Rattus norvegicus: one gene and its partner. The protein of the gene in region 2 interacts with the protein of the main gene of each other region in a pairwise test. Links are inferred from orthologs where the notes say so. Each region holds a gene or a part of one and is shown on either strand. Other genes may lie near its edges.

Region 1 (6,541 bases), on a different chromosome or scaffold from region 2:
CGAGAAGTTCTATTCCACTCCATTTTTGCATGCTTTTTTTTTTTTTTCTTGAGGCAGGGTTTGCTCTGTGTAGCCCTGGCAGTCCTCAAACTTACTCTGTAGACCGGAACTCACAGAGATCCACCTGCCTCTGCCTCCTGAATGCTGGGATTAAAGGCCTGCGCCACCACCTGGTTTATTTCATTCCCATTTTTGTTGTTGGGAAGCAATGAATTCCTTCTAGTCAGAAGCTCACAATTCATGAATTAGGCATAAGAATTTACCATCTGAGATAACTCTGTTGAGGCCTGCAAATGCTGGAGAGAGAGAGAGAGAGAAAGAGAGAGGGGGTGGGGGAAGGCAGGCAGACAGACTGACTAACCATTTAAGAACCTGGCATAGCAAGAGGAGCCCACAAGCCTCCATTCTAAAGGAGGAGCTAAGATAAGGGGTAACTTCCTAGATTATGGTCCTAAGGGGAACAACCTCATTTCTTGTACTGATGTAAAAAAGTTTGTGGAGTTCTGTTTTGTTCTAGACTCTAAGGAAAGAGAAACAGTTGCAGGCCTTGAGAAGGTCCACATGAAGTACAAAGATTTAGAGCAGTTTTGTTTACTCTGGTCCATTTGTAGCAAAGTTTTAACCGAGGGGCTGTTACTGTGATGTATGGTAAGATTCCCGCAGGCCCCAGCCGCAGCACCAGGCCTGGCATGTAAGCGAGTCCTGTTTTTATATCATTCCTATTTGTCCCACAGAGGAAGGTAATGCTACTGTTACTTGATGAGACTGCAAGTTTGGGTTATTTCCTGCCTCGTAGGGACTGGGAGCAAAGTGATCTTACCCAAGCCCAAGGGAGGAAATCTGTCAGCCACACAGCTTGTGACCATGAAACAGACAAGCTTAATTAACCCTCACAGGAAAATAAATACACAAATATGGGCTCATTAGCAAAGGGAATGAGAAAAAAATGAAATGATAACCACTAAATTGTTTTAATCCCATACCTAGTAAGGTTTTGAGCTACTTAAGGCTAAGAAACATGAAAATTCTGGATCTTAGTACTAGTTAATAATCAATCAGATACTTAGGGGTAGGTTATTTATGTGCCTAAAACTATATTGGGAATTACACAGAAAATTATTACTAGATTAATACTCCCAGCTTGACCCGATGACACAGACCTGTATTCTAAGCTACTATGCAAACTGAGCCAGGAGGATTACAAGTTCAAGGCCAGTCTGGGAATTTAGTAAGATCCTGTTTCAAAACAGAAATAAAAAAAGAGGACTGGGAGTGTAGCTAAGCTGCAGAACTTTACCTAATGTGCACAAGGCCTTGGGTTCAAACCCCAGTACCACCCCAAAAGTTAGCAAATCAATAATTAATGCCTCTGCATTGGTTGTGTACAGCTAAGTACTTATCAATTAGGTATGCATATATGCACCCATTAACTAAACATAGGGGCTGAAGAGAGTCAAGAGCTACTATGGCAAGCATTAATGTCGATCAGCAAGCAGATCTCTCTCTCTCTCTCTCTCTCTCTCTCTCTCTCTCTCTCTCTCTCTCTCTCTCTATTCTGTTCTCACGGCCGGGAAACAAGTCCCAGGCAACAAGTTTCTTGGACATGAAGAAATTCTTAAAGAGCTCTTGGCACACAGTAGATATATCGTGAGCAGGGGCCCTGCCAACACTGCATGGGGCACTCCAGGTACCTACCCTGAACGGCTGGTCCGGGATGAACGGAAAGTAAGGGATTGCTGACTGCTCTTCGCCTCTTTCTCCTGATATACAAGAGTTTCTGAGGAGCTGCCGGTCCGTGAACACAGCTTTGAGTTCAATCGCCACATCGGCAGGAGGATCTTCAGAGTCACCACAGGTCAAGCTGATGGCAAAACTAGAAAGGAAACAGTGTCACTTAGCTGGGAATTAGATGTAACATTTTAACTTGACCCAGTTCCTCCTCCAGTGGGTTCATCGGCTTTTAATGGGCTGCTACTGTTTACACAGAGTTTAAACACAGAGTAGAAGGATTACACTCAAACCAATAGATTTTGCTTCCTAAAGCAGGCTCTGGTGAAAACTTCAGTGTTACTGAAAATAATTGCAACTGAAGATTTCAAACGCCCCAGGCCACCCGGGGCCTTAATCCATTTCAGAGTTCTCCAAAACAGCCAAGGGAACTGACAAGGGGAACATTTTGTAAGTTTGGTTCTTATTTATTCTAACAGGTTTGGTTACAACTATAGTGTTTCAAAGCCATAAAAAAGAAAAGTCTTTTGGCCTTCTCAAGGGTCAAAGATTAACTGTCGGCCTATTTTTATCATCCCTGATATAAATAGCTATCTGGAGAGATGATGGCTGGGATTCATACACATTCTTTTCATGGGAACATGGTACTTTCTTGGCACTCCTAACTAGTGACACTGTCTGCAAGTAGAGGAACGGGAGGAGGCAGCCGCAGTTCAGCAACAGAAGGGCTCGGCCCTTACCTTTCGGGGTTGAGATCTACGATGCCCATCACTAATACCTTCTTGCCTGGTCTCATGCCACCTTTAATGTGCCCACAAAATGGAACTATCTGCAAAGGAGGAGGGGAGAGACAGGAAGTTTACAGGCTGTGAGAGAAGCCAAGCCCTCGGCCCTGAGAACCTGACCCACCAGAAGGCAAGGAAATGCACCAGGAGGGAGAAGGATAAAGGCAGAGACACGGAGCACACTGATTTACCAGTCGTGGGAAGTACACGTCGGCTTGAACCGGAGAACCCAGGGAGTTGTTCAAGTGCCCATCATCAAGTTTCTAAAAATAGAAGCACACAGATTGGCTTTCCACAGACCCTTGTTTATTAGGGAGTGAATAGAAGGATGTGGAATCCACACAAATCGGTCGGGATCCAGCAGCCCTCCACAGACACATAGGCAGTGATGCCTCTTTATAGCTCATTAAATAACCGCGAAACAAAACCCGGCCTTTCCACCCGGTCTAAGCCTCTGATGATCCCCAGGCTCTTGAGATCGGATCAAATTCAAGGTCGCGGCCCACCGGGGAAGCAAAGCCCGTGTAGGTGGGCGGCAGGCCCCCTCTCCAAGCACAAACGCTCCCGGAGTCTCTGCCCCCGGGCCTGTCCTCGGGGACGTGGCTGCGGTGCAGCGACAGCGCTCCGTTTCTCCCGGGAGCCCCCGGCGCGGGACCGTTTCCAAAGGGGGAAATCCCGGACGCCGGGGCCGCGGCCCCACGGTAACCCACGTGCACGCACACGCGCCCGGCGCGCACCTGGCCGGCGCCCTCCTGCCCGGCGCCTGGGGCCCCGAACTCCCACCCCGCGGCGGCTGACAGGTACCGCGCTTCCCGCGGCACCGCGGGTCGGTAGACCTCTCCCCCGCCCTCCGAGCTACCCGCCTCGCGGGCGGCCGCCGCACTCACCACCACGGCGTCGCTGTCGGCCACCGACCCCGCCATGTTCCTGCAGCGAGCGCCGGGGACGCGGCGGCGGGCGCGGGTCCGAGCCGGGCGCGCGCACACACCGGCGCGCGCGCACGCCCCAGGCTGGCGCGGTCGCAGGCCCGGGAGGGGGAGGGGAGGTGTGCGGCGCGGAGGTCGCGGCGGCGAGGGGATGACGGTGGCGAGGGCCGCAGTGCGTCGGCCTGGGGTGGCATTTAAAGGCGGCAGGGCTCGACTCGGGAACCGAGGACCGGGAACAGGGCGGGGACGAGGCCCGGGCACCGCGGCTTGCTCAGCGTGCCCTGCCCTACGGCCATTGGACCATGGCTGGAGGCCGGGGAGGGCGGTGGCCTGTCGGCGGGGAAGGTGGGTGGGGCTGGGGGAGGGGGTGAAGGGAGGGCCAGGTGGGCCAGGTGACAGGTGCTGGGGACACTCCCGTCCGATGGCCTACTCACTCACTCCTTCCGCATCCTGGGATTGTTGGGGTGGATCAGGAGCGAGGTCCTGAGAAGGTGGAGGAAGGAGAAGAGGAAGACCCGGTATGGCTTCTTTCAGAGAATTCCAACCCAGTGGGAGGAAAGTTAGTTTCACTGTCTGGAGGAGAAGGAGAACGGAGGGTCCAAGGCTTGCAGAAGAATACATTTGACCCTAAATAAAGAAGCAGCCGTGACTCAAGGGGGGCAGTTTGCTGAGCACCGACCAATCCTCTGTTCCCAGGGAAGCACAGGCTGGTATCCGGGGTCCCCGGAAGCAATCTTCAGCAGGTGCCTGGCCAAGCCGCAACTTAAACTGGACGGCCTCTATCCTTAGCTATTTTACTTCACTTGCTTAGTTTGGGGTAATGGAATCTCCCGCCATTCTTTGTGTAAGACTTCCCAGGGAATACCCTCCTCTTTCACTCTAAAGCTCAGACTCCTTTATGGTATCCTGACACTCGCGTAATTATATAACTTCTCAGATAAGGCTGTATCAACATACCCTCTATTAGGTGACATCCTCGGCTTACCCAGTGCACTGAATCACCACACTAATAAGCAGGGAGCTCAAATGAGCTGCTACAGTCCCAGAGGGGCCCTTTGTGGGACCTGGCATCTCTGCGGCTTTTGTGTCCCTTTGTGGACCGGTGCTAATCACGGTAATCTCTGTGGTGCAGGGAGAATTACCTGAGCATGCCTGTCATCCACAGTCGGAGCCTTTGAGGAAGTGGTTCTCAGAATTAGAGGCTGAAGAGGCATAATTGTGGTTCCCATTTTGCTCTTGTTTACGAGTCTGAGCTCAGAAATCACACCTATTAATTATTCTTAAATATTAGGCAATTATAAGAAACTTGATATTTTAAAGCCATACTTTGATTATCTGAGAATTTCTAAGAGTCAGCATAGGGAAGTCATTGAATTATTTGCTATAAGCTAAGCGTGGTACAATACATTATGGTGATTATAAAGGGCTGGTGTCTTGGGTCCAAATTCAGTTTCTTATTACTGATAGTAGCGTGGCAATTTCTTCACCAGACACGATGTTAATTACGATGATGATCCTATCTCGAATTACTGTGCAGATTGGTAGATTGGTTCACACACCTTCCCAAGAAGAACACTCAGCACGTTCTAGGCAACAGTCCTGAGTCCATGCTGTTGACCGGGAGCCCAGAATCAGCAGGGGCATTGCTGAGATTACACTGTAGGGAGGAGAGGCAGACATAAGTAAACCTGTATACGTAGTAAAGACTCTGAGAAAAATAAGGCAGGGAGGGAGAAAATGCAGGATGATGCTATTAAAGCAGGGTAGCCTGGGAAGGTGACATTGAGAATTCTGAATTCTCAATGGAGGGAGAAAAGGGGGGAAGGTCCAACCTCCACAAGAGGTTGCTAGCTCAGGAACTGTCAAGATAAAGTCTACAAGATGGGACCTACTGGGCATGTGGAGCAGAAGTACAGGCTGAGGCCTTGGTTACTTGAAGGGAACGGGAAGACCCCGGAAGTTTCTGAGCAAGGCAGATGAGGTTTGGTTTTGGAGGTTCTGGGGAGCAAACCCGGGGCCTTGTATATGCAGGGCAAGCATCCTGTCACTGTACTCTCTGATGTTGATACATTGCTGTAGCTGATGTGATAAGAGCCCAAGAACAGGCAGCCTGTAGCCAGGGCAGGAGGGAGGCTCCTGTCTGGACCAGGTGAGAGGAATGGCAGTGTAGAATCAGGCACCCTTGGGGAGACCTAGCAGTCCCCATCACAAAGCTTTGTCACTTTGTCACCAAGCTTCTCTTATATTTTAGAAGTTTCTAGTTCTGAAAAGCTGTGTGAGTGGCACCAGTCGCATTGGTGGGGAGCAGTGAGGTGCTGCTCAGTGAATGAAAGAACTCAGGTTGAACCTTGTGATAAATGGCTTTCCGGGGTGAAGAATAACCCTTAGATTTGTATGTGAGTGGAGTTTAAAGTATTTGGGTTGCCGAAGATGGGTTTCTTACATCCTAGGAGTATAAAGAATTAGCAAGGGCTGGACCTGCCTGGGACTTAGTAGCATGGTAAATTGCCTGTTATTGAAAATAAACTTGCTTCCCTTACAGCCAGTCCAAACAGCCAATTTTATAGATAGTGATCAGAGAGAAAGCCTAAAAGATTTGTTTTTGTAACTAAAAGCTAAACGGGGTTGAACTAAAGTTTCCAAATTTTCCTCAGAGTTCTAGAGTGAAAGACAGGCAAACATTTGACTGTGTTTTGGTTCCAGGCACTTATGTCCGGAAAAAGATTAACAAGGCCTATGACGTATCACATTTCTGCCAGGAGCTTCTTTTTTTAGGAGTTCTCAGGAACTAAACGTCTAAAGCCGTCAGACGTGACTCTCTTGAAAAATGTAAGCAAGGCTTTGAAGATGGGTTTCTCAGGATTTAAAACGGGAGTTCACTTTCTCTGTCCCTCTGGATTCTATTTACCTGTAACCTGTGCTCGCAGATCTCTGACAGCCTGAGGGGAGCAAGGCCTGTTGCAGCTCAGCCATCATCCTGCAGGGATTGTTCTAAGAAGAACTGGGACTCAACAGCAAAGATTTGTAAATATCCCCCCTCCCCCACCCAGCACCCCCCTCCCCCATTTGAGGGTTAGTTTGTTGCTATGTATTGTAATGCTA
Region 2 (6,719 bases):
CTGTGCAGGAGAGAGCTGGAGGGTGAAGTGTTGTTTTTAACAAAATCTTTTTTTTTTTTTCTTTTTTTCGGAGCTGGGGACTGAACCCAGGGCCTTGCGGTTGCTAGGCAAGCGCTCTACCACTGAGCCAAATCCCCAACCCTGTTTTTAACAAAATCTTAAACATTCCATTTTACCAGTAAAGACTTGGGAGCTAGATGCTGGGGTAAAGGTCTGCTGGCTCAGGGAGGCAGAGAAAGTACCCAGCTGACCTCCTTCTCAGCTGATGTTCCAGAAGAAAAGGCAGTTCTTCTCCACACCACCTCAAAGACCTCGAACCGAAATCTCCCTGCCTTCCACTTCCTATGTGTCTTTCTATTCATCCTCCTGAGTTCCCCTACTCTCTGTGATTTCTTTCCCTGTGTTTACTCCCTGTCAACTGATTGCTTGGTCCACCTCTTGACCCATGGATGACTTTATTTAAACCTGTCTACGATAATCAGAAAGCTCTTGGATTAAAGATGTGTGCTAGAGCTGAGCCATACCACAACTAGAAACAGGTTTTTTCCAGTAAATAACACAGTGTGATCAAATATCCTGCATCAGAGAAGATATTCCCAAGAAAAGAAGCCCAAGAAGTGAGAAGAGTCTGGATAGAAATGTCCACTCCCGGGGCTGGGGATTTAGCTCAGTGGTAGAGTGCTTACCTAGGAAGCGCAAGGCCCTGGGTTCAGTCCCCAGCTCCTAAAAAAAAGAACTACAAAAAAAAAAAAAAAGAAAGAAAAGAAATGTTCACTCCCACCCCAGCAGGGGAGAGGACAAGGCTGGGCCTGCATGAAAGGTGCCTAATAGCCAGAAGAGGCAACAACAGCTCACCCCGGGCTTTCTGAAAGAATAGCCAGGGGACAGAGAAGAGCTCTTTTCAGATCGGTGACTGGGATGGACCAGGGAAGGAGGAGATTTAGGTACTGATTCGGATCACACAGGGGCTGTACTGGCAGGAGTGTTGCACTCCCATGGGCATGGAGTCCAAGCAAAGGGAGAACAGGGCTCTTACAAGAGACCTGGGTAAGGACAACCAGCAGTATCCCACTGTCAGACTGAAGCCAGGAGCTAGAAAAATGAAAAACTGGAGAGAATGCAGACAACCTCTTATACCAAGATTCTCGAGTGGCAAGCAGTGACAGATGGCATCTAGTCAGGCAGAGAGAACTAAGCCCTGTAAGGCCAGAGGACATGGCTGCAACTTTGTGGCCCTGGCTGGATGCTCTTCTCCATTTGGGATAATGGAATCACTGTGGGATGTCTGTAACTTTAATGTCTGTGAGTTACCTGGTGTAGGGCTGGGGAAACAGCTTAGTGGTTAAAGATGCTTCCCATGAAGCCTATGGACCTGTGTTTGAGCCCCATGACCCACAAGGAGGAGGAAAGAGCTGATCCCACACTGTGACACCTGACACCCTGGAATTCAGACACGAGCACCTTTTTAAGAATGGGGTCTATAGAGTACCCTCACAACAAAAGCAGAAAGATCCAGGACTAGGCAACATTTTAGCCTTTAACTCACTCTCGGTGCTCCTCCAAACGACTGCCTGGTCCCCCTAGAACAGACACTAGGGCAGGTCTAGAATATTCTGATAAGTCTGAATAAGTAGACCCTTAATGCAATGAGAACAAAACAGACTTGCCAGCAACGGACAATATTGCCCTGGAAGTCACGATGGTGATGGGGGCAGAAGACCCTCTTCAGTCTTCTATCAAGCCAAGTAATCACATAACCTTTCTTTAGGGGGTCACCTGAGCTGTCCTAGTACTTCCAATTAGAGTCAGCCCATGGGATAGTGAGTGAACCAATGGATTGTGGTCCCTGTCCTTAGTGTGGAAGGAATCTGCATGTGCCTCTGTAGCTGTCTAAACTCCTTCACAATCTTCTCAGGACAGAATGGAGAGACTGCCATATATGTCATGCCAGGTGAGACTGAAGGACCAGGTAAGGTGTTGGCATTCCTTGCAGTGGGGGAGAGGGTCAGTGGCAAAGAAGCCCAAGCATTTCTCAATTGGAGAAAGGTCCTGAAGAAAAAAGGAATGTATATGAGGGCTGAGGCAAGATCACATGTTGCAGGCCAGCCTGGGTTACACAGAGACCTAAGAATACAGCTAGACCCAATCTCAAAAGGGCCGGGGGAGGGTTACTTTGCAGAAATTTCTTCTGAATTTTTCACTTAACAAGAACCTTAGTGTACACCCCAAATACACACACAACAAAGCAAGAGCTGGTCACCAGATGGAGAACAGACGCAGTGGGAAGAAGTAGACCTCTGTTCTCAAAGATCGAAGGAAAAGTCACACTTTCTGTCCTCCCTCTCCAGGACAAGAACTCAGCCACAGACACAAGAACCATTTCAGAAGCCACACAGGTAACTAAATCGTCACCTCAAACTGTACCCTCTCTACAGGAACCCTGAACTTCCAGGCAACAGACCTTCCAGAACACCAGCTGCCCTGGATGGCTTCTGACTTAACAGGTATGCACACACCTTCTTTCTGGTCTCAGCCAAGGCACAGCCTAAAAACCTGGCAATTGGTGACACAGGCTTGTCATCCCAGGTACTCAGAAGGCTGAGACAAATTCAAAGGCTGGTTGCAAGTTCAAGGCCAGCCTGGAACACTTGGGAAGTCCCGTCACAGAATAAAAATTAAGAGGAAAAAGTAAGAATCGGGCTGAGGAGGCAGCAGAGTCGGTAACTGCTTAGCATGCATGAAGCCCTAGGCTCAATCCTATGAACTGCGGGGGAAGAAGGGGGCCCAAAAAACAGCTCAATCTGCAATGCACTTTAGGGCTAGACAGACAAGCAAGGTTCCATCTCTAGGATCCATACAGAGGAAGAAGAGAACTAAGTTAACCTCCCTCCACCGGTAGCCTGGTATACACCGGCAAACACACACACAATTAATTAATTAATTAATTTGCTAATTAATTAATTAGCCCGTCCATTTATTTTTAAAAGAGCTGTGGACATAGTTCAGTGGTAGAGTGCATAAGGTCCTAGGTCAATCAACAGTACTGCCAAAATCAGGCAGACAGACAGACTGACAGACAGGCAGGCAGGCAGACAGACACACACACACAGCCAATCAATTAACTTTTAAAAGGGATGGGGACATAGTTTAGTGATGGAGTGCATAAGGTCCGAGGTTCAATCAACAGTACTGCCAAAAACAGGCACACACATACACACAGAGAGACAGAAAGAGACACAGAGAGAGACGAGAGACAGAGAGACAGAGAGACAGAGACAGAGAGGGCTTGACATACGACTCAGCGCTTACGAGGGCTTGCCACCAAGACTGTCAATCTGAGTTCGATCCCTGGGATCTACAAGGTAACTGACTCCAACCCCGGGAGCCCTTCAGCCCACAGCAGACCACTCGGTCCCCTCCGCCCCGGTTCCGGTCCAGGCACGCCTACCCGCGCCCTGCAACGGGACACGGGGGTCCACAGCGGCCCCGGGAGCACGACACGGAAGACCCCGCAAAGGGAAGTCGCGCGACAGGATCGACTCGGACTGTGTGCATGCCGGAAGGCAGCGGACAGCTCCTTCCCATGGCGTCGGTACGGTCGGGCAGCGCGCGCAGCGCCTGGGGAACTCGCAGACCCGACCACTCGGCCACTTACCCGAGTTGAGGAGCCGAGTGCTGCAGCAGCGGCTCAGATCTCCCTCCTCTCCGCCGGTGCCTATGTATCGCGAGACTTCCGCGAGGGTCTCGCGAGATCTGAGAAAACGGCCCGTAAAGAATCAAATATGCGCGCCACAGGCGTGTCCTGAGAACAACTGCTGTCCTGCCAAGGGGCTGGAAACCACACTGAGCCAGGGTGCCTGTCCCTCAGGGCGCTCTTCGAACGCCACCCAGTGCGCCGTAATGTGTGGAGTAGCACTGCTTGGGAGGGAACGTTTGTTTTGCTTTTGTGTCAGTGTTTCTCTGTGTAGCCTCTAACTCACAAAGATCTTCCTAGTGCTGGATGGAATTAAAAGGCTTGCACCACAACTGCTGGGCATGGAAAGTAAACATAGCTTTGGAAAGTTGATTTTTCTCTGAATCTTGCCACTGTGTATGTATACACAGGTTGTTTTGTTTGGGGCGGTGTTTTGATTGGTTAGCTTGTTTCATTTTCTTTCCTTTGTAAATGAGAATTCCTGGGAAGAAATTGTGACTGTAAAGGCGGATTGGCTGGTTGCCTTCGGTAACGTTGCCGGTCCAGAGCCTGTTGTAATTTGTCTTGGGCTCTATCTTTAACCCCCGTCATACCCATTGCTTACCCGCCTCTGTGTCAGCTCTAACGTGTTGTGACTTATGGATAAAAACCTCTTGGAATACATTAAAACCCAGTTTCTACCAACCAAAAGCCCACGAACTGCATGAGAAGCATATAGCTGCTATTTCTCTGCTTTGCTATAACTGCCTACTTAAATCTTCCACTAGTCTATTTGTTTTCATGTTTTATTATTTTATGGGTGTTTTGTGTGCATACATGATGCCCATAGAGACCAGATGAGGACAACAGATCCTCTGAAATGGGAGTTAGATGTCTATGCGCCAAGATGTATGCGCTGAGCATTGAATCTGGGGTCTCTCGAAGAGCAACCAATGATCTTAACCCGAGCCATTTCTCCGCCCCACCACCAAGAAAGATTTTGTTTGCTTTGGTTTTTGTTGTTGTTTGTTTCGTTTTGTTTTGATTTGTCTGGTTTGGGTTTTTAAAGGCAGGGTTTCTCTGTGTGCCTCAAGGCTGCCTCCACCTGCCTTTGCACCCCACCCCCAACTGCTGAGAATAAAGTAATGCGCCGCCTGTCCCCCACCAATGTATTTTTAAAGTGCCTTGATTCATGACTTTCTTTATTCTGTTACTATAAAAATTTCCTCACTGCTTCCAGACTGGAACATGGAATTTGGGGTAACTTAATTTTAAGTCTGTGTTTCTGGGACATTTGGCTCAAGAATAAACGACCTGTCCATCTCGGTGGTAGTGGCACATGTGTCTAATCCCAGCACTCTGGAGGCAGAGGCAGGAGTTTCTCTGTGAGTTCAAGGCCAGCCTGGACTACAAAGGAAGTTCCAGGACACCCAGAGCTACACAGAGAAACTCTACCTGGAAAAACCAAAAAGTAAAAACATTGGGCTGGAGAGATGGCTAAACCGTGAAGAGCATTGACTGCTCTCCCAGAGGTCCTGAGTTCAATTTCCCACAACTACATGGTGGCTCACAACTATGTGTAATCTGTCTGTAATGTGTCTGGTGTGTCTGAAGACAGCAACGGTTTCCTCATTATATATAAAATAATAAATCTTTCAAAAATAAATAAACACAAAAGATTCTTGCATCCGTTTTGAGATGAATGTTGTATTTTGGGGTCAAGCTGAGAAACAGAATCTTACCCTGTACCCCAGGTTGGCCTGGACCTCACAGCAACCCATCAGCCTTCTGAGTGTCCTGAAACAGCCCTGCTCCTCAACTGGCCCTTTGGTTATCAGACTATTGAAGCAAAGGGCCGAGGGCTGGAGAGATGGCTCCGCGGTTAAGAGCACTGACTGCTCTTCCAGAGGTCCCGAGTTCAATTCCCAGCAACCACACGGTGGCTCCCAGCCATCTGTAATGGGATCTGATGCCTTCTCCGGGTGTACATACAGATAGAGCACTGATATTACCTAAAGGTAATAAATAAATCTTTAGAAAAAGAGAAAGAGCCACAAGACACTAGATATCCTCCCAAGGAAAAGGCTAACACCTGGAAGAACTCTCCAGAAGAATGATTTCTTGTTTGTCAGCTGAGGGTGAGCAAAGATCAGTGCTGAGACACTGATGGGACTGAACACACAGCCTCCTCCTGCCTTTCTCTTCAATCTTCCAATCTTCTTCATCAACCTTAGACCCCTGACACTGGGACTTGGGGACACACTAGATCGAGCTTCGTGTCCCTCTTCCCACTGAGGCCACACTGGGCAAATTCCCTTTTTTTTTTTTTTTAAGATTTATTTATATGTAAATACACTGTACCTGTCTTCAGACTCACCCGAAGAAGGCATCAGATCCCATTACAGATGGTTGTGAGCCACCATGTGGTTGTTGGGAATTGAACTCAGGGCCTCTGGAAGAGCAGTCAGTGTTCTTTTTTTTTTTTTTTTTTCCCAGAGCTGGGGACCGAACCCAGGGCCTTGCGGTTGCTAGGCAAGCGCTCTACCACTGAGCTAAATCCCCAACCCCTGCAGTCAGTGTTCTTAACCACTGAGCCATCTCTCCAGCCCCCAATTCCCTTTTTCTGATTTGCTATCAACTTGGCTCTTTGAAATTATTGAGGGGGAGTGGCCAAGCCTGGCTTGTTGGGACCCAGCCTGTGCCACTTACACACTTAACCCCTCCCCCTCACTCCTCTCCCTCCCATTACCTCCTTCCCCCCAACAATCACGTTCACTGAGGGTTCAGTCTTAGCAGGACCAAGGGCTTCCCTTCGACTGGTGCTCTACTAGGCTATTCATTGCTACCTATGAGGTTGGAGCCCAGGGTCAGTCCATGTATAGTCTTTGGGTAGTGGCTTAGTCCCTGGAAGCTCTGGTTGGTTGGCATTGTTGTTCATATGGGGTCTCGAGCCCCTTCAAGCTCTTCCAGTCCTTTCTCTGATTCCTTCAACGGGGGTCCCGTTCTCAGTTCAGTGGTTTGCTGCTGGCATTCGCCTATGTATTTG

What was found. The genes of interacting proteins can lie anywhere in the genome.
Region 1: the proteins of Mad1l1 (region 2) and Lgalsl interact in binary tests that used the Homo sapiens proteins (3 or more experiments, as listed by UniProt). The two-hybrid records come from large-scale screens. The link is inferred for Rattus norvegicus from reciprocal best matches to the Homo sapiens genes MAD1L1 and LGALSL.

Annotation. Positions count from the first base shown.
Region 1 is NC_086032.1:99,202,229-99,208,769, forward strand, and holds the start of Lgalsl (galectin-related protein), read right to left. Parts: upstream 3,619-6,541; 5' UTR 3,437-3,618; coding exon 3,401-3,436; intron 3,314-3,400; coding exon of another isoform or gene 2,902-3,313; exon of another isoform or gene 2,777-2,901; coding exon 2,705-2,776; exon of another isoform or gene 2,558-2,704; coding exon 2,469-2,557; exon of another isoform or gene 2,015-2,468; intron 1,874-2,014; coding exon 1,696-1,873; intron 1-1,695. Other genes in the region: probable splicing factor, arginine/serine-rich 4, read left to right, coding at 2,902-3,313. UniProt on the Homo sapiens protein: Does not bind lactose, and may not bind carbohydrates.
Region 2 is NC_086030.1:19,431,762-19,438,480, reverse strand, and holds the start of Mad1l1 (mitotic spindle assembly checkpoint protein MAD1), read right to left. Parts: upstream 3,700-6,719; 5' UTR 3,656-3,699; intron 3,605-3,655; exon of another isoform or gene 3,586-3,604; coding exon of another isoform or gene 3,449-3,585; intron 1-3,448. UniProt on the Homo sapiens protein: Component of the spindle-assembly checkpoint that prevents the onset of anaphase until all chromosomes are properly aligned at the metaphase plate.